7 linked regions of the Kluyveromyces lactis genome follow. The protein of the gene in region 4 interacts with the protein of the main gene of each other region in a biochemical or structural test. Links are inferred from orthologs where the notes say so. Each region holds a gene or a part of one and is shown on either strand. Other genes may lie near its edges. The genes, in order: SIC1, UBI4, KLLA0_E17447g, RSP5, PCK1, BSD2 and KLLA0_F18216g.

Region 1 (2,694 bases), on a different chromosome or scaffold from region 4:
TCACAACCCATTTCGAGAGACTAATTGAAATCATTAGAATGAATAAATCTGAAGAAAGTCAAGAACTTGCAGAAAATTTACGGGATGCCATTAGCCAAGAGTTTGCAAATTGCCTAATACATCCAATTCTGCCAACAGCTAATGAACTTGGATACAAAGTATTTGAAGATTTGTTGAGGCATAGAAAGAAAATCTTCAAAGAACTCAAGAGAAAAGGATCAAATCCATCATCCAGGGGTTGATGAAGGGTTTTTGTTAATATATATGACTTTTACATAGAATTAACACTCTGCGACGATCAAAAACGACAATCTTATTTCACTGAAATATTCTACGAAAATTATCGTAAGTATTGTATTTATAAATATGATGTTTTAGCAGTTTTTGTTATGTAGTGTTACAGGGGAATTCCATACCCTTCTTTCCTTATGAATTGTGTCGGTACCGTTAGCTATAGTTAAAAATAAAAAATAAAAACCCGTTTTATTCATGTGTCTTACCTACCCATCATGCCTATCTATTTCTTCAGCAAAGAGTCTCGTAGGTTTAAACCTTTGTTTCTCATCGTCAGTCAAATGTCTTTTAGAAACGACCTTCCCTCCTTTATTCACATAAGTGATTGTATCTTCCAAATCAGGGTCCTCAAGTAGCATCTTCTCTTTACGTTCTTTTCGCAGTTTTTCATCAGCAATATTATTCGAAAGAAATGGATTCTCTAAATTACTATGTTGGTTGACTGCCGTAGGTTGTTGTTCAATATGAATATTTTCTTCTTCGTTTTCTGATTGCGATGTATTCAGACCAGACTCGTTATGCCATTTTCTAGCAAGTTCAAAGGTGGTGATCTTGTCACTTGGAGTTCCTGGCTCTTGTTTAGCAAGTTTGAATTTGTTATTGACAGCATACTCATCATTGATATTATAACTTTGAACGCCTTTGAAAGACTCCATTATACCGGTTCTCTTTGGTGGTAGCAAAGTCCTGTTGTTTGAAGTTTCTTCTACTTGGAAATCCGATCCGAACAAGACCCTACTGACAGGTTGTAACTTCTCCTGGTCAAACTCTATCCTGCGTTTCGTATGTTTGTTCTTATGTGGGGTATATTCAGGTGTCTTTAATGCCGGGCATGGACTTGTTAAATTCATGGGTCTAGTAGGTGGCTGCAATCTATCCTTTACTCTAACTGTCCCCGGAGTAACCATGCCAGAGGAATCAGATTCCGCGGCTCGCTCTGGAGTTGCGAGCAGCAAATCTGTCTTATTTGATCTCTTATTCCTAGAACTTGGAGGGGTAGCTGGGGTCATTATTATGGAAATAAGAGTGTAATGCGTAGAATGCAAAAAAAAAAGAGGATAAACTCTAGTATTACCAATTGAAAGCTATTGATATTGTTTTCAGATGTATCGGTGTGTTGATGAGATCTAAATGAAAAGTAGCAAAGATGGTATAGAATGTATACTATACCGATGATATCCCTTTTTCTGTCTAAAACAAAACGGACTGAAAATCTGGCAACTTATAATGAAGCAAAAAGCAGAGTAGGTTGAAACCAGTTTCCAGTAACCTCACTATCGTCAAGAAGGAATTTGATATGAAGAGACTCTGATTCGATTACTTAGGTGCGTATGCAACCGCTCTATGCTGGATATGGTTCGCTGTTAAACTATCTTTATATATAGATATATGTGAGACTCAAAACCAGCATCTTTAATTTTTTTTTTAATGTGAACCACTAATAATATTGAACCAGCAACAATTTAGCAGTCATACTTGAGTAGCAGTAAATAACTTCTAAACAAGGATTGCGTCTGTGAGCAGTGGAACCACTGGAAACTAAGAAAGTTTATGGAACATTCATACGCATTGGGATAATTCAGATCGATCAGAATTGACGATTGACGCTCAACGTTTGACTCAGCATTTTCCTGTATTTCTCAAGAGTATTCCTTTCTTGAATCTTTTGGATCTTCATTAGCGATCAAGAATTTTTGCGATCACAACAGGGCTAAGATGGTATGTTTCGCTGGAGCGCTGCTCTAATTGTATTTCTACATTTATAGACACGCGTCGCGTATGTGTTACTTATTTACTAACTTACCTTAATTATTGTTTCCCACGATATCACTAGAACGCGTTGTATAATCATGCCATCAAGCAGCGAAGTCTTCTAAATAAAGACTTGGGTAAATTTGAGAAAGAGCTCGTAACAGCGCCGATCTCTTTGCAAGGGGCGATCGCCACAACCCTTGTTTCTTTCGAGAAAACGCTTCATCAGTACAAGGAACAATACAAGCAATATCAAATAAATAGTTCAGATGACAACGACGAAACTAAACTAAAGTATGAGACGAGACTTCAGACCTTAACACAGGATTACGAAGATGCAAAAGAGAAATTTACCGAATTGAAGCAAAAATACTCAGAAATTAATGCGAGAGATCAGTTGTTCAACCAGCAAGCATCAATGGTGGAAGAGACCGTGATGAATAAAAGGAACATCAATGCTCCTCCGCAAACATCTTTCGGAATAGGCGCCTTAGATCAGAACAGTGAAAGAATGACTATCAATTCGGCGGCTGGTTTACCACTATATGAAGGATTGAGGAAAGAGAACTCGATCTTTGAGAGAGGCAACGCGCACTTGGACAGAATATTACAGATGGGACAGGAATCTTTGGAAGATATCATGGAACA
Region 2 (2,786 bases), about 1.1 Mb from region 4:
TCCTCAAATGATGTATCTCACATTTTCATTGATATCTGGAAATATGGCCACGCTCTATGCAACAAGAAAGAAGTTATTGAAAGTGTCAAGATAAAGCTGATAAGGTATGGTGGGCTATTGAAAGAAAAGTTCCCCCACACCAATACCATGGTCGACTTTGGCATTTTGGAGATTCTTAGAGTGGATGACTCCTCAGTATTGAAAGCTGAAGCTTTAAATATTGGAATATCTCAGTAGAAATTGCCAACGGATGATATATTACTATCTTCTACTATTTATAACATTATCATAGTTGTTATGTATCTCTGAAAATGTATATAATATATACAAGACCCTAAACTTTTTATCCAAAGAATGTAAGGAAAAAAAAAAAATGCAAAAAAAAAAAAAATTGAATTGAGTATAAATGATACAACGGCTTTGCGTGGTCTCAAGCTCGTTAATAAACTCCCTATCGAGTTTCACTCCAGTAATCGGAAATATGAAATAAATCTTTACCATTAGATGCCACCTCTTAATCTCAAGACAAGATGTAAAGTGGATTCCTTTTGGATGTTATAGTCAGACAAGGTTCTGCCATCTTCCAACTGCTTACCTGCAAAAATTAATCTTTGTTGGTCTGGAGGAATACCTTCTTTGTCTTGAATCTTAGACTTGACGTTATCGATGGTGTCGGAAGATTCGACTTCCAAAGTGATGGTCTTACCAGTCAAGGTTTTGACGAAAATTTGCATACCACCTCTTAATCTCAAGACAAGATGTAAAGTGGATTCCTTTTGGATGTTATAGTCAGACAAGGTTCTGCCATCTTCCAACTGCTTACCTGCAAAAATTAATCTTTGTTGGTCTGGAGGGATACCTTCTTTGTCTTGAATCTTAGACTTGACGTTATCGATGGTGTCGGAAGATTCGACTTCCAAAGTGATGGTCTTACCGGTTAAGGTTTTGACGAAAATTTGCATACCACCTCTTAATCTCAAAACAAGATGCAAAGTGGATTCTTTTTGGATGTTGTAATCGGACAAGGTTCTGCCATCTTCCAACTGCTTACCTGCAAAAATTAATCTTTGTTGGTCTGGAGGGATACCTTCTTTGTCTTGAATCTTAGACTTGACGTTATCGATGGTGTCGGAAGATTCGACTTCCAAAGTGATGGTCTTACCGGTTAAGGTTTTGACGAAAATTTGCATACCACCTCTTAATCTCAAAACAAGATGCAAAGTGGATTCTTTTTGGATGTTGTAATCGGACAAGGTTCTGCCATCTTCCAACTGCTTACCTGCAAAAATTAATCTTTGTTGGTCTGGAGGGATACCTTCTTTGTCTTGAATCTTAGACTTGACGTTATCGATGGTGTCGGAAGATTCGACTTCCAAAGTGATGGTCTTACCAGTCAAGGTTTTGACGAAAATTTGCATACCACCTCTTAATCTCAAGACAAGATGTAAAGTGGATTCCTTTTGGATGTTATAGTCAGACAAGGTTCTGCCATCTTCCAACTGCTTACCTGCAAAAATTAATCTTTGTTGGTCTGGAGGGATACCTTCTTTGTCTTGAATCTTCGATTTCACGTTATCGATGGTGTCAGAAGATTCAACTTCCAAAGTGATAGTCTTACCAGTTAAAGTCTTAACGAAAATTTGCATGTTTTCTCTTGATCTAGTTTTAAGGGGAATGAGAGGGGGGGGGGTAAATAATTTGGGGTGAAATAGTATAACCTTGAGTCAGTATCTTCTATGAGAGAAACTCTTGATGCTCCTTCTTAACCAATATGATGTTGTTAATAATATCAGGAAACAAACTGCCAAAATAACCCTTTTGTTTTTATATATACTCCCTTTTTTTTTTAAAAAAAAAGGAACTTGTTCGCTTATTTCTTTTATTTTATCTCCCTATCAGTTCTTACTAATAACGGAGAATATAGCACAAAAAATGAAAATAAGAACAATAATGATAGCTGCTATGCTGTCCAAACTTTCAGAATAGATATATGAATGCGATATAGGTAGTAATAGTATCTAACCCGAATAATATCTTAGAAAAAGATAAACGTATTTAGAGAATAAACGGGGGAAAGAACAATCAGAAGTGGCAAATACGAGAGAAAAAAAGGCGGCCGCCCAAGTGATCACTATTTATATAAAAGCATCCAGTGTAATCAGTTTCGCTCGGCCTAAGGTGGCCGTTTGAAAAGAAAAATTTCCCGAGAGGGAATTCGATGGAAAACCGGCAGTTTGGAATCTGTTACGTTGCAGCCATCTCTGTATTTCAGCCTTGTATCTTTAACTGTTTGCAATGAATCTTTTCTCCGGCTTACAGATCGCCATGACTTGAGGTTTATGATTGCATGACGAAGAGCGGGGATATATGGAATGAACTGCTAACTTTGATTGTTCAGAGTAAAGAGCATACCGCTTTGTATCCACTGATACCTTCTGCAGTACAGTGTGTATATGCAGAGGTAACCATGGAAACTCATGGAACAATGAAGTTTATCCTTTTTTTTTAGACTTGCGGGGAGAATCTAAGATACAGACAGACGAAAAAAGTGACTCGAAGTCATCCACGTGATTAAATCAGGGTAACATACATCATATTTTATCTGCCTGGCTTCTCCTAAATTCATTCTTGACCTTTCAGATGCTCCCGGAACATACCCAGGCCAAATATCTCTGTCATTGAGGTTCCTGGCGGGATAATTCGGACTGCCCAGAATCTCTTCGATATTACTTGTCTTATAGTCCTAGATGACACTTTTTTTTCGACTCTTTTTATGATAGCGGTGT
Region 3 (2,400 bases), about 350 kb from region 4:
GAAACGGCAGCTGGCTCTTTTAATACTCGAAATCCCCAACGTCGATCGAGAGCCACAGCGTCGGTTAGTAAATGGAACTGGATTCCATACCAAGGGTTTTATCAGCGCGGTAATCGTGGATATAGTCTTTTGTAGGGTGTTTATAGGGTCTCGTCTTTTCAGGGCTTGGCAAGGTCATTCTGAATGAAACGGCCATCGCTGGTAACAGAAAAGCCTTGTTATGACCAGACATAGTACAATAGTAGCCGATGCAAAGAAGATGTTGTAGTGTGACTCATTGCACAGGATATTAGCCGAATACGAATGCCCTGGATTTCCTTATAATACATTGTTACATAGTTAGTTTGATATTAAATACGTATGGAAGAAGAGTGACATTTTATACACGTTTTCTGTAAATAGGTAGGTGAAGATGGAGAGAGAGAGAGAGAGAGAGAGAGAGAGAGTCGATGATGTGTAGAAAGTTTGTTGAAGATCATTTAATGGCTTGTATTACGTTTTCACCGGAGATTTGTAGCAGCCGGTGCTTCAGGGATTAGTGTTGACACAGATGATGACCGTCGTTGTTGGGCTGATTCAGGGTTTTGTCGAGAGGCTTCTACAGTCTCCGATTCAGGTACATCATTATATGCCGGCAATTGCTGGGCCGTAGCCGTGGTCCGTTGCATTTCCAAATCTATCATATCCGTATCCCTATCGTTTCGATGCTCTAGCACATACGCATCTATCGGTGGTGGAGGGTCGGCTTTACTGTTCACGTGGAATATCCCATCACGATCGTAGTAACCCAAATCGTTTTCATTTGCTTCTTCTGTGTACGGAGGCACGTAATCTGCCAATGGGACATCTGATCTATTTCTTACAGCTTCTGATTGTCGGTATGTGGGCGGAGTGAGCCATGACACGTATCGAAGTGGTTGTTGTCCGTTACGCCTTCTTATATAGTTTATTCTTATCGTAGTGATGACAAATGCCAGTAAGATGAACATGAATATAACGAATATTACCCACCGTGCCCATTCCCAGTGGGAGGAACACGAGAGACCCCAGCAGTTGTTATCAATATCAGCAGATGTAGTGGTAGCACTTTGAACAGCGCTGACAACACTGGATGGCGTAGATGTAGTTGTGGTTGACATAGCAGGCGAAGTAAGAGCAATATTAGAACCCGGAAAAGATATACTTCCCTTGTTTATTCAATTAGTAAGTTCAGGAGTCCTGCTCTTGGTGTTGGGTTAGCCCTCTTTGTTTTCCGATCCTTTTGATCGAAGGTCTTGTATATCAACAGACAAAAAAGGGGACGAGAAGCGACTTGTAACAAAAAATCCAGTGGGAAATCCTCCTTTCAGCGATAGCTTCGTGTGCAGGTTGGATTTCAAACTCCTATCGACTGCCCTCTGGAGTCCTGCTGGCATATCCTTGTTGCAGCAAGAGTAGCGAGGAAATCTGATCGCGAATCATGACAAATTTCATTTAAAAACGACTATTCCCCATATGCAAATATATATCAGTATATATAATATATCAAGAGACCGATGGAGAGAAATACTGGAAATTTAAGAGAAAGGATATACCTATTTTACCACGAATGTCCAGAAAATGTTGCAGAGCCTCAAATATAACCAAGTTGAGTTCCAAAATCAGCACTACTTCTGCGCTACATAATGTTTACCAATTTTTGTATAATGAGACGATGGAGTTTCTTATTAGTTGAAGTTCTATCATTACCTCGCGATTCTAGGTTGGATACTCTCAACTTATATATTGTAGCGGTTCTACTATTAGTACTCCCACAACTATCGTACCTTCCTGGCCCGTTAAAAACACCTCATAAATGATCAGTGCTGGCGGTCAGTCCTGTGGCCGTAGTCGTCCTCCAGATCGGCCCTGCGTAAAAAGAAACTGGATTTCTTCACGTTCCATTCTAGGTAAAGGGAAAATTTTCAGAATTTGGAAAAGCATGAAAACTCATCTCATCTCATCTCATCGCATAAACAACAAACACAAGAGGGTCTACACACAGTAACTGTCAATCACCAGTCATACAAGACCTGCTTCAGTACATTGATATAACATTGAGGACTAGTCTTGTTCTGTTTCCCATTTTAAAATAATCAACCATGGGTAAGCAAAAGACTACAACGAAATCTACCAAGAGGTATAGATACTCATCTTTCAAGGATAAGATTGATGATTTGAAGATTGAACCTGCTAGAAATTTGGATAGAAGGGTTCATGATGATGTAGAGACCTCCCATTTTCTATCCTCTTTTGAACACTGGAAGGATATCAATTTGAGTGGGAATTTCGGATCCTTTATGGATTCGGTAGAGAAATTGGTTCAAACTTTGCCTCAACTTTTGTACCATGAGGATGAAATCTTTGCGAATTTGGAGCAAT
Region 4 (4,289 bases):
AATTTTCGTTATTATCCCAAAATTTAAGCTGGATATATCAATCTCTGGGCAATTACAAAACTCCGTCGGTTAGGAACCAGATACTTCGTTGTCAATTGCTTCCCACATTATAGCATACCTATATAAAGTAACACCTGATAATGGCAATAAAATATAACAAAGCACCATAAGTTGAGGCCTAACGAGGTTAAGAAAAAAATTTCTATGTAATAATATACACATGTTTTGGCAACAATATATCTATAACATATATATGTCTGTGCTTGTGTTTGTGCTTGCGCTTTCTGATTGAATAATTGAGAAGGTGCAGGGTATTGAAAAGATTGAAAGATTCATTCAACTACTCTTGTCCAAATCCGATGGTTTCTTCCACTGCTAATGTTAGCTTCTGCTTGAAAGATTCATAATCAGTGTATGGTGGAAGATCCACTCTGTTGAAACAAGTGTGTGACTTGGGTAGTTGTTGAACTTCACCTGCTTTTTCGATAGTGAATCTTCTTGGACCATCAGAACCTTGCAAATCTTTGAATCCATTGACCGGGATACGCGATGTACCAGTTGTGAATTGTAACAAACGTGCTCTTTGCTCGTTGTCCCATTCAGTGATACATTTCCAGAACCACTGGATAACTTCGTCAGACTCTTGGTATCCACGATAATCTGTGTGTTTTTTCCAGTCTTCAACATCAATTTCTGCAATACCACCAATCAATAATTCAAGTTCACGTTCATCAAACACGTTGACTAGATCTTCAGGAACCAATTCGTTAAATCCATCCATAAATGCCTTAAATTGTTCTTGAACTCTGTCTGCGATCCTCCATTGGGTATATAGTTCAACATATTCTTTCTTGTTTTCATCTGTGACTTCGATTTCTCTGCCGTTTGGTTTCAAATCGACGACAACCAGTTCACCAAATCTTTCATCATCAACATTAAATGTTAGATCTAAAATGCCATCTATGCTATTTTCTAAAATCCATTTCAAGGAGTTGTAGACTTCTGAATCGACACCTTCCATATCTTGTAATACTACCTTCTTTCTTAGCATCATCTTATATAGAGCACCAACGAAGAATGCATCCAAGAACCTTCTATGGAATACACCTAAACCGACGACTCTACCAATGAACTTGAAGTAGTTCAAATGCTCAGGGTTGATACCACTGTTTGGATTGATTTGGATAGTATAGTTATCATGGGCAGAATATTCAAATAGACAGTAGAAGGGATTAAACATCTCGTGTGATAGTAAAAAGAAGAATTCTCTTGAAACACCACCATAATCTAAACCTTCTTCACCGTCAAATTTGATCATTAGTCTCTTCTTTAAGTCTTCTGGCGTTTGTCTCATTATTTCTTGGTAAGAATCTTCGAAGATATTCTTTCTGCGTACTCTGATGTGACATTGACCTGGTAGAATTCTTAAAGCCGGTTGGGATCTGAAGTAAATAACCTTACGTCTGAAGTCACGCTTATACTGTGGAACGTTTTGATCCAAGGAAGAAGGTAATCTAGGATCATCCCAAGTGGTGGTCTTAGTGTTATGGTCAACGAAGTATACACGGGCTGTGTTTGTCAATCTCATCTCCCAACCAGAAGGCAAAGGTCCTAACTGAGATACAGGTTGTTGTTGTATGGTATTTGTGGAAGGCCCATAGGTTCTAATATATTGTTGTCTTCTTGGATCGACCCATGTCGTGGTTCTTGTGTTGTGATCAACGAAGTACGCTCTTCCTTCAGGAGTGAACCGTTGTTCCCAACCTGGTGGAAGTTCACCCAACCCCGATGTGGTACCCCCAGTGGCAGCAAAAGTAGCAGCTGCTGAACCGTTTACGGCAGGAGTTTGAGATCCAGTACCGGTATGAACAGCAACGTTTGATGAAGACGAGCCCTCTGATTGAGCACCACCATCAGGTAAAGTTCTTCCTCTGTGTTGTCTACGTTCTAGTTCGGTGTTGACACGTTGAACCTCGGATTGATCCAAAGTGGGTCTTTTCCATGTTGTTGTCCTTGTATTATGATCCACATAATATGTTCTTCCAAAGTTATCCGTTCTTCTTTCCCATCCTGGGGGTAAACGACCATATTGATCTTCAAACGATGAGTATTGCCTGCTAGCTGACGATTGAGATTGAGCTGTCGAAGGTTGACCGGATGGAGCAGCATCACTTGAACCGGCACCTGAACCTGAACTGGCGGTACCTGCAGCATTCGCAGAATCCTGGTTGTCTAATGTAGTAGTTTGCAAGTTGTTAGCAACAGTCTGAGCAATCAATCTGTTGTCGATAGTGGAAGCGTTCGTCATCGAATCCGATTGACGAGCTGCTCCGGAACCAGCAACAGCACTACCTGCGGCACCAGCAGCTCCATTACGGCTGCCAGCTCTGGGGAGAACCGTCAAAACCAATATTATTCTACCACTTACTGACAACCCGTCGTTAGAACGTTTTAAATCTCTAGTAATAGTCTCTTCACGAGCTCTACCGTTCGAAGTGGCAGTATCTTCGTCCAAGTGACCCAGAATGTCACCAATACGAACGTTGACAACACCTAGGAACCCTTGATCTTTCTTCTTGAACTTTTTCTGATCAAACACTTGAACAGTTAAGATCGAATTTTCACTCACATTTTTGAATTGAAATACTTCATTCCAGTAGGGATTCAACGTCTTCTTTGCAGCCGCTGTGGATTTCGTCTGAGAACCATCGATAGTCAAAACTGCAAACGGATCAGGAGATCTAAACACATCCCTCCTGTTCAATGACTCAGCAGCCACTAGTTTCACAGAGATAGACATATTTCGCAGCTTTTTATTTTTTTAATGGTTTGTCAATTTCAAATCCGATAATTTCTCCTTCAAAGTGGAATCTCAATAACAAATTGAAAAGTCTTCAAACACTAGATATCTGATAAGTGGTAGTAACAGCAATAATTATTAAACAAATAAAACCGCCCGAGAAAGCCTATAAGGTTTTATTTTTTGTCTTTTGTCTTCTTTAATTGTCGTAATTGCAAAGAAACAGAACAGGAAACAGAACCAGAAAAAAAGTTGATGATTCCTCTAAAAAGAAGCAAAGAAAAATCAGATCAATACCTTGCTCAATACCCTTTTCCGTACCGTCCTTTTTGCCACTGTCAATGCACGTTTGCTTATCCTCTAGCACCTTGATCTGATGATTAAATCGGATGTTGTTTGCAAGTAAAGTATCTTTGTTCTTGTTTTGTTTCCTTAATTAAAATATGCAAATCACAATTTTCTTTTCTCCTTTACTTGTCACGTGAGGAGATTGAAACCTGGAAAAAGAGTACTAAAGAGGGATACCAGGCTACGCCGAGTATGTCAGTAAATTCGGAAACGGCATTAATGGCGGTGGTAGCCACCAGGTTGCAAGAATCTGCCGTATTGCTGTCAGATGACGTGCATATGGGACGATTATGGGCATCACGTGACAAAAATCATATCGTCCAAAATGACATAAATATAAACAAGCCTTTGCCAGCTTTAAAGATGCTGGGTTTGTTTACAGGTAAACAAACCTCTTGCAAACATAAACAGGATGTTTGCTCATATGGCTGCCTAACACACTCAATAGGTAACGTGCCTTTCTCTAATTTTTGTTGCTTGTTCTGCGTTTGGTCCTATTTTTGATTGGCTCAGTGTTTGCTAGTGCTATTTTTATTTGCCCTGTATCATATATAAACATGTCGTTTCTAAAAGTGACCAGCTCTTACTCCTCTAATGGATGTACCTGTTAACAATCAATTATTCTCTGCAGTGCAAACATTACACAAAGTCAAATAAGAAACTGTATATTGCGAAAATTATGACTGAATTCTACAGGGCTCCAGAGATATTCAGACAGAACGCCATCATCGTCAAGAAGAGTAGAAGAGATATTAGCGATGACGAGAACAGTACTATTGTCAGGCGGAATTGCAAGATAGAGGCTTCGAAATTGAACAGTTCCTTGCTAAGGAAGGTTAGTGGTGATTTGAACGATGTCATTGTCACGAAAAAATTGAAGACAGATTGTTGGAAACTGTCAGAAGACACTAGGGACGTCACTTCAATGTCATTGGATAGGGACACCATTCTACTTTCCACATCACAGACATCGGATAATTTACAGTTGTTCCAATTGCGGAATAATGAAATTAATGAGCAGGCTCGCGGTGGGAAATTGCTCCATAGTTTACAAACCATTACTGTTCCAGGAAAATCTATTCTGGCTACAGATATCATGCAATCGCAGAATAATGACACCGTAGTTTCCTTCGATGATAAA
Region 5 (3,546 bases), on a different chromosome or scaffold from region 4:
AATGTACCAAGAGAAGACTCTCGGACATGCTCATCTCAACCCCGGGAAGGGAAAGGTTACAACCGATAAAATTACCTAAGTACGTATGGATGGTATTAACAAGCTTCTTTGTCCCTCTTCCAGAAATGTCCTTTTATTTGAGTTTGTAGATGAGCCCGGGCTTCGGAGTCCAATGACACTGAAACGCTCGAAGAAACCACTTAATCTTGATTATATAATCATTATACGCCACCAACTCCGTTCCATTCTCTTTCCCCGGTCCACCATATACGGCTGTACACTAGCATGTCGATTCCCCACGCGATCGACCGGGGAACCCGAAATCAATGAAGAACGTAGAAAGTAAAATGAAAATCGAAAAAAATAAAGCTACGAAGGTTTGCAGGAAGTGAGCAGATGCCCGGGAATATCACCCGTACATCACATTTCAATATCAACCCGGGAAGTAAATTTTGTTTTTTTCCAGTATCCTCTTGCCCCACACGCTATCTACCCAGAGGCATCCCGGGAGCGGAGCGGTACAACAAATTGCCAAAATTTGTCCCCCTTCTCCTACTTACATCCTGTGAACCAAAAGAACAACAGGGGGGAAAGGAAAAATTTTCGAGTGCCAGACATGAACTTGGCTGGCAAGGTTTTTCCTTTCACACCACACTCAATGTTGAAACGTACATCTTTCGGAACTATTTTTCGAGCAATTGGGCGTTATTCCCAACAATCCAAGTACTGGTCTGTACATCCCGGTCTTATTGAATACAAAAAAATTTAGAGAAAGTGCCGTATAGACTGAAAAGTCCCCAATTTTTTTTGTTCTTGCCTTGTGTGTTAATTAGTTTTAATCAAATTCCACGCTGGGACAAACAACGGAACGGACAAACGAAAAACATAAAACATAGACATTCAGGACATTTCAGGACATTTTATTTTGAAACGAACAGACACATAGATAGATATCAAAGAAAACGTAGTTATATCGATACCGAACCAAGGGAGAAAGGGACTCTTGTTTACTGAAATCGCCTAGAATGAGTCAGATAACTCGCTGGAACATCAATTATCCATCTAGTAATTAAGTGCAATTATTTATTCTCGTCCTGTCATATCGTGAATTGATTAATATTCATCTTTTATGATCATATATAAGGGCGATGGTTTTTCATGATTTAGTTTGATGGATACATTTCAAGTGTTGATAAGGTACAATAGTAGCTATATATTATCTCAGTTGTATTGCAATAAAAGTAAACCCAAAATTCAGTGATTCTACACATTGAAAGCACTTTAATAGTAAAGCCAAAATTCATACTATACGATAAATTGACTCTTCTCCATTTAAGAATACTCAATTAACCGTGTTATCGACTTTTCCTCTAGCGCGACTAAAAAGAAAGAAAATAAAACCTATTATCAAATAATGTCACCAACTAAGACACAAAATTCTGCTGAAGAGAATATTAGGGCTGAGCTTGGCCTTTCTGCAGAAGTCGTCACCATCAGACGTAATGCTCCAGCTGCTTTGTTATATGAAGATGCTTTAAAAGAAAGAGACACAGCCATTTCCAATGCTGGTGCCTTGATTGCCTACTCTGGTGATAAGACCGGAAGATCTCCACGTGATAAGCGTATCGTTGAAGAAGAAACTTCAAAGGATAACGTTTGGTGGGGTCCAGTAAATAAGCCATGTTCCGAAAGAACTTGGGAAATTAACAGAGAAAGAGCTGCTGATTACTTGAGAACTAGGGATCACATTTACATTGTTGATGCTTATGCTGGCTGGGATCCTCGTTACAGAATCAAGGTCAGAGTGGTTTGTGCTAGAGCTTACCATGCCTTATTCATGACGAACATGTTGATCAGACCATCAAAGGAAGAACTAGAAAATTTCGGTGAACCTGACTTCACCGTCTGGAATGCTGGTCAATTCCCTGCTAACACACATACCTCCGGTATGACTTCTAAGACTACTGTGGAAATTAACTTCAAGCAAATGGAAATGGTCATCTTGGGTACCGAATACGCTGGTGAAATGAAGAAGGGTATTTTCACTGTGATGTTCTACTTGATGCCTGTAAATCACAATGTCCTCACCTTACATTCTAGTGCCAACCAAGGTATTCAAGATAATGACGTTACTTTGTTCTTCGGTTTGAGTGGTACTGGTAAGACTACCTTGTCCGCTGATCCTCATAGACTGTTGATCGGTGACGATGAACACTGTTGGTCCGATCATGGTGTTTTCAACATTGAAGGTGGCTGTTACGCTAAGTGTTTGGGATTGTCTGCCGAGAAGGAACCAGAAATTTTCAACGCTATCAAGTTCGGTTCTGTTTTGGAAAACATCATTTACGATCCTAACACTAGAGAAGTTGATTACGAAGATTCTACAATCACAGAAAACACTAGATGCGCTTACCCAATCGAATACATCCCAAGTGCTAAAATCCCATGTCTAGCTGATCACCATCCAAAGAACATTGTCCTGTTGACTTGTGACGCTTCAGGTGTTTTGCCTCCAGTATCCAAGTTGACCCCTGACCAAGTTATGTACCACTTCATCTCTGGTTACACTTCCAAGATGGCTGGTACTGAACAAGGTGTCACTGAACCAGAAGCAACTTTCTCCTCTTGTTTCGGTCAACCATTCTTGTCTCTACATCCAATGAAATATGCTACAATGTTGGCTGAAAAGATGGCCGAACATAACGCTAACGCTTGGTTAATCAACACTGGTTGGACTGGTTCCTCTTACGTTGCTGGTGGTAAGCGTTGTCCTTTGAAGTACACCAGAGCTATCCTAGATGCCATCCACGATGGCTCTTTGGCTAAGGAAGAGTATGAAGTTTTGCCAATCTTCAACTTGCAAATTCCAAAGGCTGTGGGTGACAAGGTTCCAGCTTCTCTACTAAATCCAAGTAAGAACTGGGCTGAAGGTGAAGCTAAGTACACTTCAAATGTCAAGTCATTGGCTAATTTGTTTGTAGAAAACTTCAAGACCTACCAAGATAAGGCTACCGAACAAGTCTTAGCTGCTGGTCCGCAATTATAATCACAATGTCCTCAACAGAAGTGCTATACCAAAATAACGAAAAGAGGCAGAGTGAAATATTATTGAGTAATATTTTCTCTTCAACATAGTTTCACTTTTTCCGTTACCTTCAACCAGACTATCTCAACCGTAGCCGGTTCATTATTATTAATATAAAATTCTGAGATTCATAAAAAACCAACTAACAATAATACACATACCATTGGCTCGGATTATTTGATTCTTGCATTTAGAAACTATCTTTTTCTCGACTACATATATAACAAGAAAATTCTACAGATATCTTGGGGTTTTTCTCATTCGTTTTTCTATTACTTTCGTCCTTTTTAATTTATCACTAACAGCCTTTATCAATATGGTTATAGTACATACATACGCTTTAGTATCTTTTAATCTGGATATACTATTTATTTATGGGAGGAATTAAATCATTAATATCATCCTTAAGCGAAGAATAAAAGCAGGTTAAATAGATCTTTAATCTCATCCCATATATGCTG
Region 6 (2,637 bases), about 470 kb from region 4:
TTTCCATCTATATTGTTATGATATACAAAAAAATATAATACACATGTTTGCATATATCCACATGAGAGACATCAAACATGCCGAATAGCATCAGGTAAAAGGAACCATTGTATCATGAAATAGATTAAAAGAGTAATTTGGTCATAGGGTGCACTGAATTAAGAGAAGACAAAAATTTCCTTTTTGTTAGTTTCTGAAGAGGAACAATCATAGAGACAGCCTGTTTGTTTTATTATAGTGTATTTTTTTTTAATTTTGGATCCACAACAACTTAATGGATAGGATTACAGTTTGATTTATTCTGATGGGATGAACCATTTATTTATGAGTGTAGTAGTGTTAAACTCGAGAGTTTTGACCCTGCAAAGGGTGTCTTTAAGCTGCAAAATAGAATAGTGAATAAAAATGTGAATAGGGCAAAAAACGAATTGAATATATGAGAAAAGGTTGAAAGCAGTTAGTCTGCTAATGCTAATATCATGGAAGTCAAAAAGAGGATTTTAAACTTCTGCTGTTGCTGTTGCATCTTGCAAGAAGCGTGCCTCCATGCGTTTGACCTTAATGTAATCCCAGATACTCTTGATTATTATGAACCCACCTAACAGTATAACGAATATGGCCAATGCCGGTGTGTGCCGCGTCTTTTCCATTACTCCATGAGAAAGGTCCGATTCGAATTCATCCTGAGTAGAAGTACTTGTATATAGACGAATCTCTTCAAACGAATCTGGATTATCAAATGTAAACCTGTTCAATTCATTATCCTTTCCTATCTTTCCTGAAACATCGTTCGGTATCATGGAATATCCGTATCCAATGAAAGTTACCCCAAGTCCAAACCTGGACCCTTGCCTAGCTGCATGTGATGTATGTAAGATATAGGTCAACAAGAACCCGACAAATTGGAAACTGAAGCTGACCACAACGTTCCATAAGAAATTGAATATATTCCCAACTGGAAGGCCGTCGATGCAAATTTCGTTGTAATACAATCCAACGCCATCGTCGTCTATACCGTAATATGGTGGAGCCATATCAGCCGCAGCCTCGTCATACGTAGGAGGCTTATCCTGTTCCCCATTCCCATTGATACCGTTCCTTTCAGGTTTCGCCATAAGATTACTGAATACACCATCAGAACTCGCCCCGACTTGTAACCTCATCGCTTGCTCGCTTGAACTGCCGCCTCTAAACAGTCTATCTAATATATTGAACTTTCGGGCAACAAAGTTCAAATGTTGTTGGAACTGCCCATTCATCTGGTGCAGTCTAGAAGACGACGAAGTTGTCCCTGTTTCCACATCATCAGCTCTTGAAGATTCGGTTTCTGGCTGTGTTTGCAGCTGCGACTGCGATTGTGAAGGAGACAAAGTCACTGAGGAAGATCCACCGACTTCATCTTGGCTCCTGCCAACGCCACTTCCGGCTACGAATTCCGAATGCTCAGACATACTCGCCGCGTAGATAATCTCAGTAAACTCTACTACCCTCGAGTAACACTCAAATATGGCTGCTTTGATGAGTTTGTGGCCTCTGCATACCAAGTTTCTTAAAAGGGTTGGTTCGTTCAAATGTTAACGTTTCCATTACTAAATATATTTTTTGGTTTTGAGCTGTTTATGAAATTTAGAGGCTTACACCATAAAGAATGAAACAGGCACACATAAATATCGATATACGTAGAGGTGCGTGTCAAGACCCTCGAGTAAGCCCGCGATCATCGGCGTTCGGTCTCTCATAGCTATCTTCAGTGCTCTTTCTTCTAGCTTATTTATCATAGTATTTCTTAAAATTGTTACAGGTGGTACCACATAAATACATATGTACATATATATATATATAGCGAATTACTCATTGAATGGTTGTCTTCGCCTTTGGTAGCTTTATAGTGACGAGTAAAGATTTCCCAACGTCGTGCATAATAACTCTGCATGCTGATGAGTTTCTTACTTCCTGTTGGAATTCTTGTTTTGGAGTTGCTTTAGCTCTGTCTAAATATTCGACTCTAGTTGATGGCTGGAACGATAACGTACTTGGACCAACATCAATACCTCCAGGCAAAGTTGTTGTTGGAAGTAGTTGACGGCACGTTTTTGGGATATCCCCAAGATCAGGAAGTTCTGCATCATGGGGTAGTTGCGGTGTACTTCCGGACGATGGGTGATTTTCTGTATTGCCTCTTCTATTGAAACGAACTTGTCTACGTTTCCTTCTAGTGTCTCTGTCCTTATCCTTAACCAAACGTTCTAGTTCTGCGGGAGATATCTGTAATAAGTTAGGTGTGTATAAAAACGTATCCTTTTGTGGTCTCATTACGTCTGCTAAGGTGAGTACAGGCAAGAATCTTGTTCTGATATCGTCTTCTTCAACGGGGCTACCGTCAAATTTGTAACCAACCATATATAATGACTTGTGATACATGTGAACTTGTTCTCTAATGCAATGTGCAATTGCTGTTAAGAATTCACCCGGAAGGGATAGTTCTTCGCATAAACACTCCGCGAACGATTCTGGACAATTATCTGGATTTGACACATCCCATTCAACGGTATCTATCAATTGATGTTGTCCAACGACAATATCTAGGTTGATTTTTATTCTGAAATCATCGCCCCCGAACCTCTGCACATTTTCAAA
Region 7 (4,054 bases), on a different chromosome or scaffold from region 4:
CCTATCGAGTTTCATACTTGTTAGATCTGAGATTAGCTCCTCGCAATCAAGAATTCTGTTTTTACTTTGATTTCTTCTTTCTTTTGGAGTACAAGAACGCATAATTTGGGTTATTTCATATAGCTAGTCGAATTTGTCATCTGAAGCATTGGCCGATTTCATCATCTGATATTCTTTCTACGACGACTCTATTAGTTTCGCTGAAATCCTTTTCGGCTTCTGAGAACAGTCTCTACAGTTCTATTTTCAGATTTTTACCCGATTTGGCTTCGTTTGGTACTTTTTTTTTTAGCAGCCAATGCAAGTTTGAACTGGAAAAAGACCGTTCAAAGAGTCACAAGATAATACAGGGACAAAATATTCAACAAAGGAGCATTCTGAACTTTTGAAAGATAGTTTTATTTCAAAACTTGCCTCCACACAATTGCAAAACATTATTATATCCCTGTTTTTTATTATATCCAGTTTTCATATTTTTGTTTTGAACTCGTACACATATCAAACAGTGAAAACTGCACTCAAAATATAATAACCGATCAATTATAAATTGATTTAAGCTGCAATACCTTTCTCCCTCATTGTGTTCTCCTTCCTATCTTTACACAATATCTTTATTATCTTGTGTTTTATTAGCTGTTCTGATTCTCCTTCCTTCTCCTTCAATCAAATATTAATATTGAGGAGAGGAAACGAACCCATAATCCAATAGATCACCGACATAAGGCAAAAGTACACTCGCACGTTACAAGACTGTTGACCATACCGTACGAATAAAGGAGCACATTGTTTTATTCCATTACAAATTCCGAGATTATATCGCCTAGAAATAAAAGTAGGGGGCTATCTGGACATATTTATACTATTTGTCCACTTGTTTTTTCCCTCTCTTGGCCAGGTCACTTTGCCGCAGTACTTGAAAATTAAGACAAATTTTTTTTTGAGAAATAAAACCGGAGCTGAAGTTTCAGAGGAAAAGCGCATATTCCCCCCCAAAGTGAGAAAAAAATTGCACGATTTTCACGACGCAAGAAGATCCACGGCAAAAGGTTTTCTATTTCTCGGGATACAATATCTTTCTATCACCTCCATTCTCCGAACAAACAGGGCAAATCATAGATCGTTTTAAATAGGGTTTGTGACCAATATTTTCTCCACAGCGTGCCATATCAATAACGTTGCTCAGGTCAAATTATATTAAGAAGGCTAAATCATAACTAGCTGCTTCGAACCCACAGATTCATCGAACCGTTTTGATCAAAACAGTTTCTTTGTTCTGAAGTTTGTCATTTGAGGAATCAAAATTTGTCACATCACTATTGATTCATCCTTTTTACAGATCTGACTTTTTTTTCGTTTTTTGCACAGAGGAGGAAAGCCGAAAACCTTAATAGTGCCTAACGTCTAAAAAAAGAAAACAACAAAGAGTAATGTCATCCAATATGTCGAAAAACATCAACGAGAGTTTTAAAGACCGTATTGTGATTAATGATTCACCCAATGAGTCAGGTGAAATATTAAGGCAAAGGTCGAATGAAACTGAAAACCAAACCAAAAATAAAGAGGAAATTTCTTCAGATAAACCTGTCATCAATTTAGAAAAGGAATTGACTGCTCTTAAAATCGACCGTCAATCATTGTTAGATGATAATTTAACAAACTTGCTGCCAGAACAGCTTTCTGAAATAGCAAGTGAATCAGAAACAGATTCAGATGAGGATACTACTAATTTGTTGGATGAACCGTCTCCAAGATCCTCTGATGACCCTTCCTTTTCAAGACCATCGTCTTGTATTTTCGTTGCGTCTTTAGCGGCCACTCTTAGTGATTCCGAACTCAACGCATCCGTGACAAAAGAGTTTGCGAAATATGGTAAAATTGTGTCTGTGAAAGTATTGCGTGATCCAGCAAACAGGCCTTACGCATTTGTTCAATATGCATCAGACGATGAAGCATTGAATGCGTTATCTCAAGCTCAAGGTACAACGTTAAACAATAGAAATATTCGTTGTGAAAGAGCAAAGGTCAACAGAACTGTATTCATCTCGTCAAGTTTTGCTAATCCACTAGAGGGAAAATTAACTGTTGAAAAAGTGGTAGATTTGATGAGTAAATTTGGGGAATTGGAACAAGTTGTCCCTAGCAGAGACCAAATGTATAAGAAAAATTATTATCCAAGTGAGGTAGCAAACTCTTGGTTTATCCAATACGCTTATCGGGACGATGCGATTAGAGCATATTTGCAAATGAAACTCAATTACGAATACATGGTGGAATGGGCACAAAATGTCGATGTTCCTCCAAGGTTCAATTTGCTACTTTCAAAGGCTAAAATTTGCGAAAAGGAACGATTAGAAAGAGAACGATTCGGTAAGCAACCAATTTTCATCGATAACAAGTCCATATTCATAGGACAATTGAATTTTAAAGTTACTAAACCATTACTTTTGGAAAGGTTTTCAAAATATGGAGAAATCGACAATTGCAACTTGATCCACAAGCAGGAACAATTGAAATGCTTTGCCTTTATCAAGTACAAGACTCCGGCATCAGCTGCAAAAGCGTTGGAAAGAGAGAATCATTCAATATTCGTGGAGAAAATACTGCATGTGCAGATCAGAGAGGTATCTAATTCAAGGCGTAGTTCAATTGATTCCAATAAGTCATTCCAGGGGCCTCAGTTGAACTTGGCACCTCCGCCTTTGAATATAGGAAGGAGAGCAAGTACAGGGTCTTTTTCAAAATACATGTATCCATTACCAAATCATTTACAACCAAATCTGCCATCTCATTATGTGTATGCTACGATACAAGAACCAAGGAGAAATACTATAAACTCAGGCTCATCATCCTACCACAACCATAATCATGTTTTCGTTGGCAATACTGGTTCACAAGGTTTTTATAATGAAAATGGTAACCAGTATGTTTATGGCACAGAAAGCAAAAATTATCCCAACAAAACAGACAATGGAGTTGAAAAAGAAAATGCTTATCTAGAAGGTCCTCAGCAAATGCATAGTACCCACTTCAATAGGTCAAAAGACGATATCGAAAATAGCACAATTGAAGAAGAAGATGATGAATATGAAGTCGATGAAGACAATGATGCAGAGGACACACATTTCTTAGAACACGAGTCCAACTCATCATTCACAACTTTCAGCGCAGGCACTGGAACGTTCAAACATAACAATGCGCATAACACTGGTTCTTATCAAAAGAATCATAGTTACAAGAAGCGAAGAAATGTAGATGCACCAAGGCATGGTAGGATGGATCCAAATTTCTACTACGGCCCGCCAGTGTACTACCCAATGGAGTACTGTCCACCTTCTGGTAGCCCCGTTGGCCCTCCGCCCTCTCACTTGATTCAGCCGGGCGCTCACTTGACGGGACAGTGTCCACCTTCTCAACATTCCCCATTCTTTTATTACTTCCCTATGCCACCTCCTACACCGACATTTACTAATCCATTCCCACACGAACACCCTGGCGGTATGAACTATTTGGATAATTCTGTCTCTGGACATGATAAAGCAGACCTCGACTATTGAATATGTCATTTTCTTTCTACTTTTTTTTAGCGTAATCATTGCACTATCTTAGGCCCTCCTAGTGATTAACTCTTTTTCACCTTCTTTTTAGTCAACCACAGGGCATATACTCGGCACCGTCTTATAATATGTTCCCCAGTGGCGTTTCATTTGTACATGTCCTTCTCTTTTAGATAAATAAACTTAAGATATCATCTTAAACTTTACATGCATGGCATATATATATAGATATGTTTTCTGTTCGAGCTTCTCCGGAATTACAAACTGTTATGGTTACAACATGCAAAACAAAAAATATAAAACACAGTGAATTGATTAGTTATGACATAAAGTTATGCAACTCCAAAAATGGCTTATTATATAGTACTTAATTATTATGCATTGACAAAATCCTGTGCGTAGAATCGATTAGAAGAATAACAATGTAAGGGGATAGGGCATTTACCAGTGTTTTACTTCAACGATGTACTTACCTAAGGCCTGAAGCAATCTTTTTATCT

What was found.
Region 1: of the proteins of RSP5 (region 4) and SIC1, one has a biochemical effect on the other in vitro, tested with the Saccharomyces cerevisiae proteins (3 studies listed by BioGRID, with this or other methods). The link is inferred for Kluyveromyces lactis from reciprocal best matches to the Saccharomyces cerevisiae genes RSP5 and SIC1.
Region 2: the proteins of RSP5 (region 4) and UBI4 form a complex in vitro, tested with the Saccharomyces cerevisiae proteins (6 studies listed by BioGRID, with this or other methods). The link is inferred for Kluyveromyces lactis from reciprocal best matches to the Saccharomyces cerevisiae genes RSP5 and UBI4.
Region 3: the proteins of RSP5 (region 4) and KLLA0_E17447g form a complex in vitro, tested with the Saccharomyces cerevisiae proteins (2 studies listed by BioGRID, with this or other methods). The link is inferred for Kluyveromyces lactis from reciprocal best matches to the Saccharomyces cerevisiae genes RSP5 and RCR2.
Region 5: the proteins of RSP5 (region 4) and PCK1 form a complex in vitro, tested with the Saccharomyces cerevisiae proteins (2 studies listed by BioGRID, with this or other methods). The link is inferred for Kluyveromyces lactis from reciprocal best matches to the Saccharomyces cerevisiae genes RSP5 and PCK1.
Region 6: of the proteins of RSP5 (region 4) and BSD2, one has a biochemical effect on the other in vitro, tested with the Saccharomyces cerevisiae proteins (3 studies listed by BioGRID, with this or other methods). The link is inferred for Kluyveromyces lactis from reciprocal best matches to the Saccharomyces cerevisiae genes RSP5 and BSD2.
Region 7: of the proteins of RSP5 (region 4) and KLLA0_F18216g, one has a biochemical effect on the other in vitro, tested with the Saccharomyces cerevisiae proteins (3 studies listed by BioGRID, with this or other methods). The link is inferred for Kluyveromyces lactis from reciprocal best matches to the Saccharomyces cerevisiae genes RSP5 and RIM4.

The regions. Positions count from the first base shown.
Region 1 is NC_006040.1:496,957-499,650, reverse strand, and holds SIC1 (cyclin-dependent protein serine/threonine kinase inhibiting protein SIC1), read right to left. Parts: upstream 1,305-2,694; coding exon 501-1,304; downstream 1-500. Other genes in the region: GTPase-activating protein RGD2, read left to right, coding at 1-242; BOS1 (Bos1p), read left to right, coding at 2,011-2,013, 2,129-2,694. UniProt on the Saccharomyces cerevisiae protein: Substrate and inhibitor of the cyclin-dependent protein kinase CDC28. Its activity could be important for faithful segregation of chromosomes to daughter cells. It acts in response to a signal from a post-start checkpoint.
Region 2 is NC_006041.1:74,448-77,233, forward strand, and holds UBI4 (ubiquitin), read right to left. Parts: upstream 1,647-2,786; coding exon 501-1,646; downstream 1-500. Other genes in the region: ECM29 (Ecm29p), read left to right, coding at 1-237. UniProt on the Saccharomyces cerevisiae protein: Ubiquitin exists either covalently attached to another protein, or free (unanchored).
Region 3 is NC_006041.1:1,550,360-1,552,759, reverse strand, and holds KLLA0_E17447g (resistance to Congo red protein), read right to left. Parts: upstream 1,140-2,400; coding exon 501-1,139; downstream 1-500. Other genes in the region: UTP20 (Utp20p), read left to right, coding at 2,121-2,400.
Region 4 is NC_006041.1:1,196,644-1,200,932, reverse strand, and holds RSP5 (NEDD4 family E3 ubiquitin-protein ligase), read right to left. Parts: upstream 2,801-4,289; coding exon 341-2,800; downstream 1-340. Other genes in the region: DSE1 (Dse1p), read left to right, coding at 3,747-4,289. UniProt on the Saccharomyces cerevisiae protein: E3 ubiquitin-protein ligase which accepts ubiquitin from an E2 ubiquitin-conjugating enzyme in the form of a thioester and then directly transfers the ubiquitin to targeted substrates.
Region 5 is NC_006037.1:39,830-43,375, reverse strand, and holds PCK1 (phosphoenolpyruvate carboxykinase PCK1), read left to right. Parts: upstream 1-1,414; coding exon 1,415-3,046; downstream 3,047-3,546.
Region 6 is NC_006041.1:1,664,471-1,667,107, forward strand, and holds BSD2 (Bsd2p), read right to left. Parts: upstream 1,452-2,637; coding exon 501-1,451; downstream 1-500. Other genes in the region: SNF5 (Snf5p), read right to left, coding at 1,852-2,637. UniProt on the Saccharomyces cerevisiae protein: Required for homeostasis of heavy metal ions such as cadmium, cobalt and copper. Controls metal ion transport and prevents metal hyperaccumulation by negatively regulating the SMF1 and SMF2 metal transport systems.
Region 7 is NC_006042.1:1,676,304-1,680,357, forward strand, and holds KLLA0_F18216g (uncharacterized protein), read left to right. Parts: upstream 1-1,427; coding exon 1,428-3,554; downstream 3,555-4,054. Other genes in the region: NPR3 (Npr3p), read right to left, coding at 3,996-4,054. UniProt on the Saccharomyces cerevisiae protein: Positive regulator of sporulation-specific genes and of sporulation. Required for premeiotic DNA synthesis and meiotic chromosomal segregation. May act in a nutritional signaling pathway.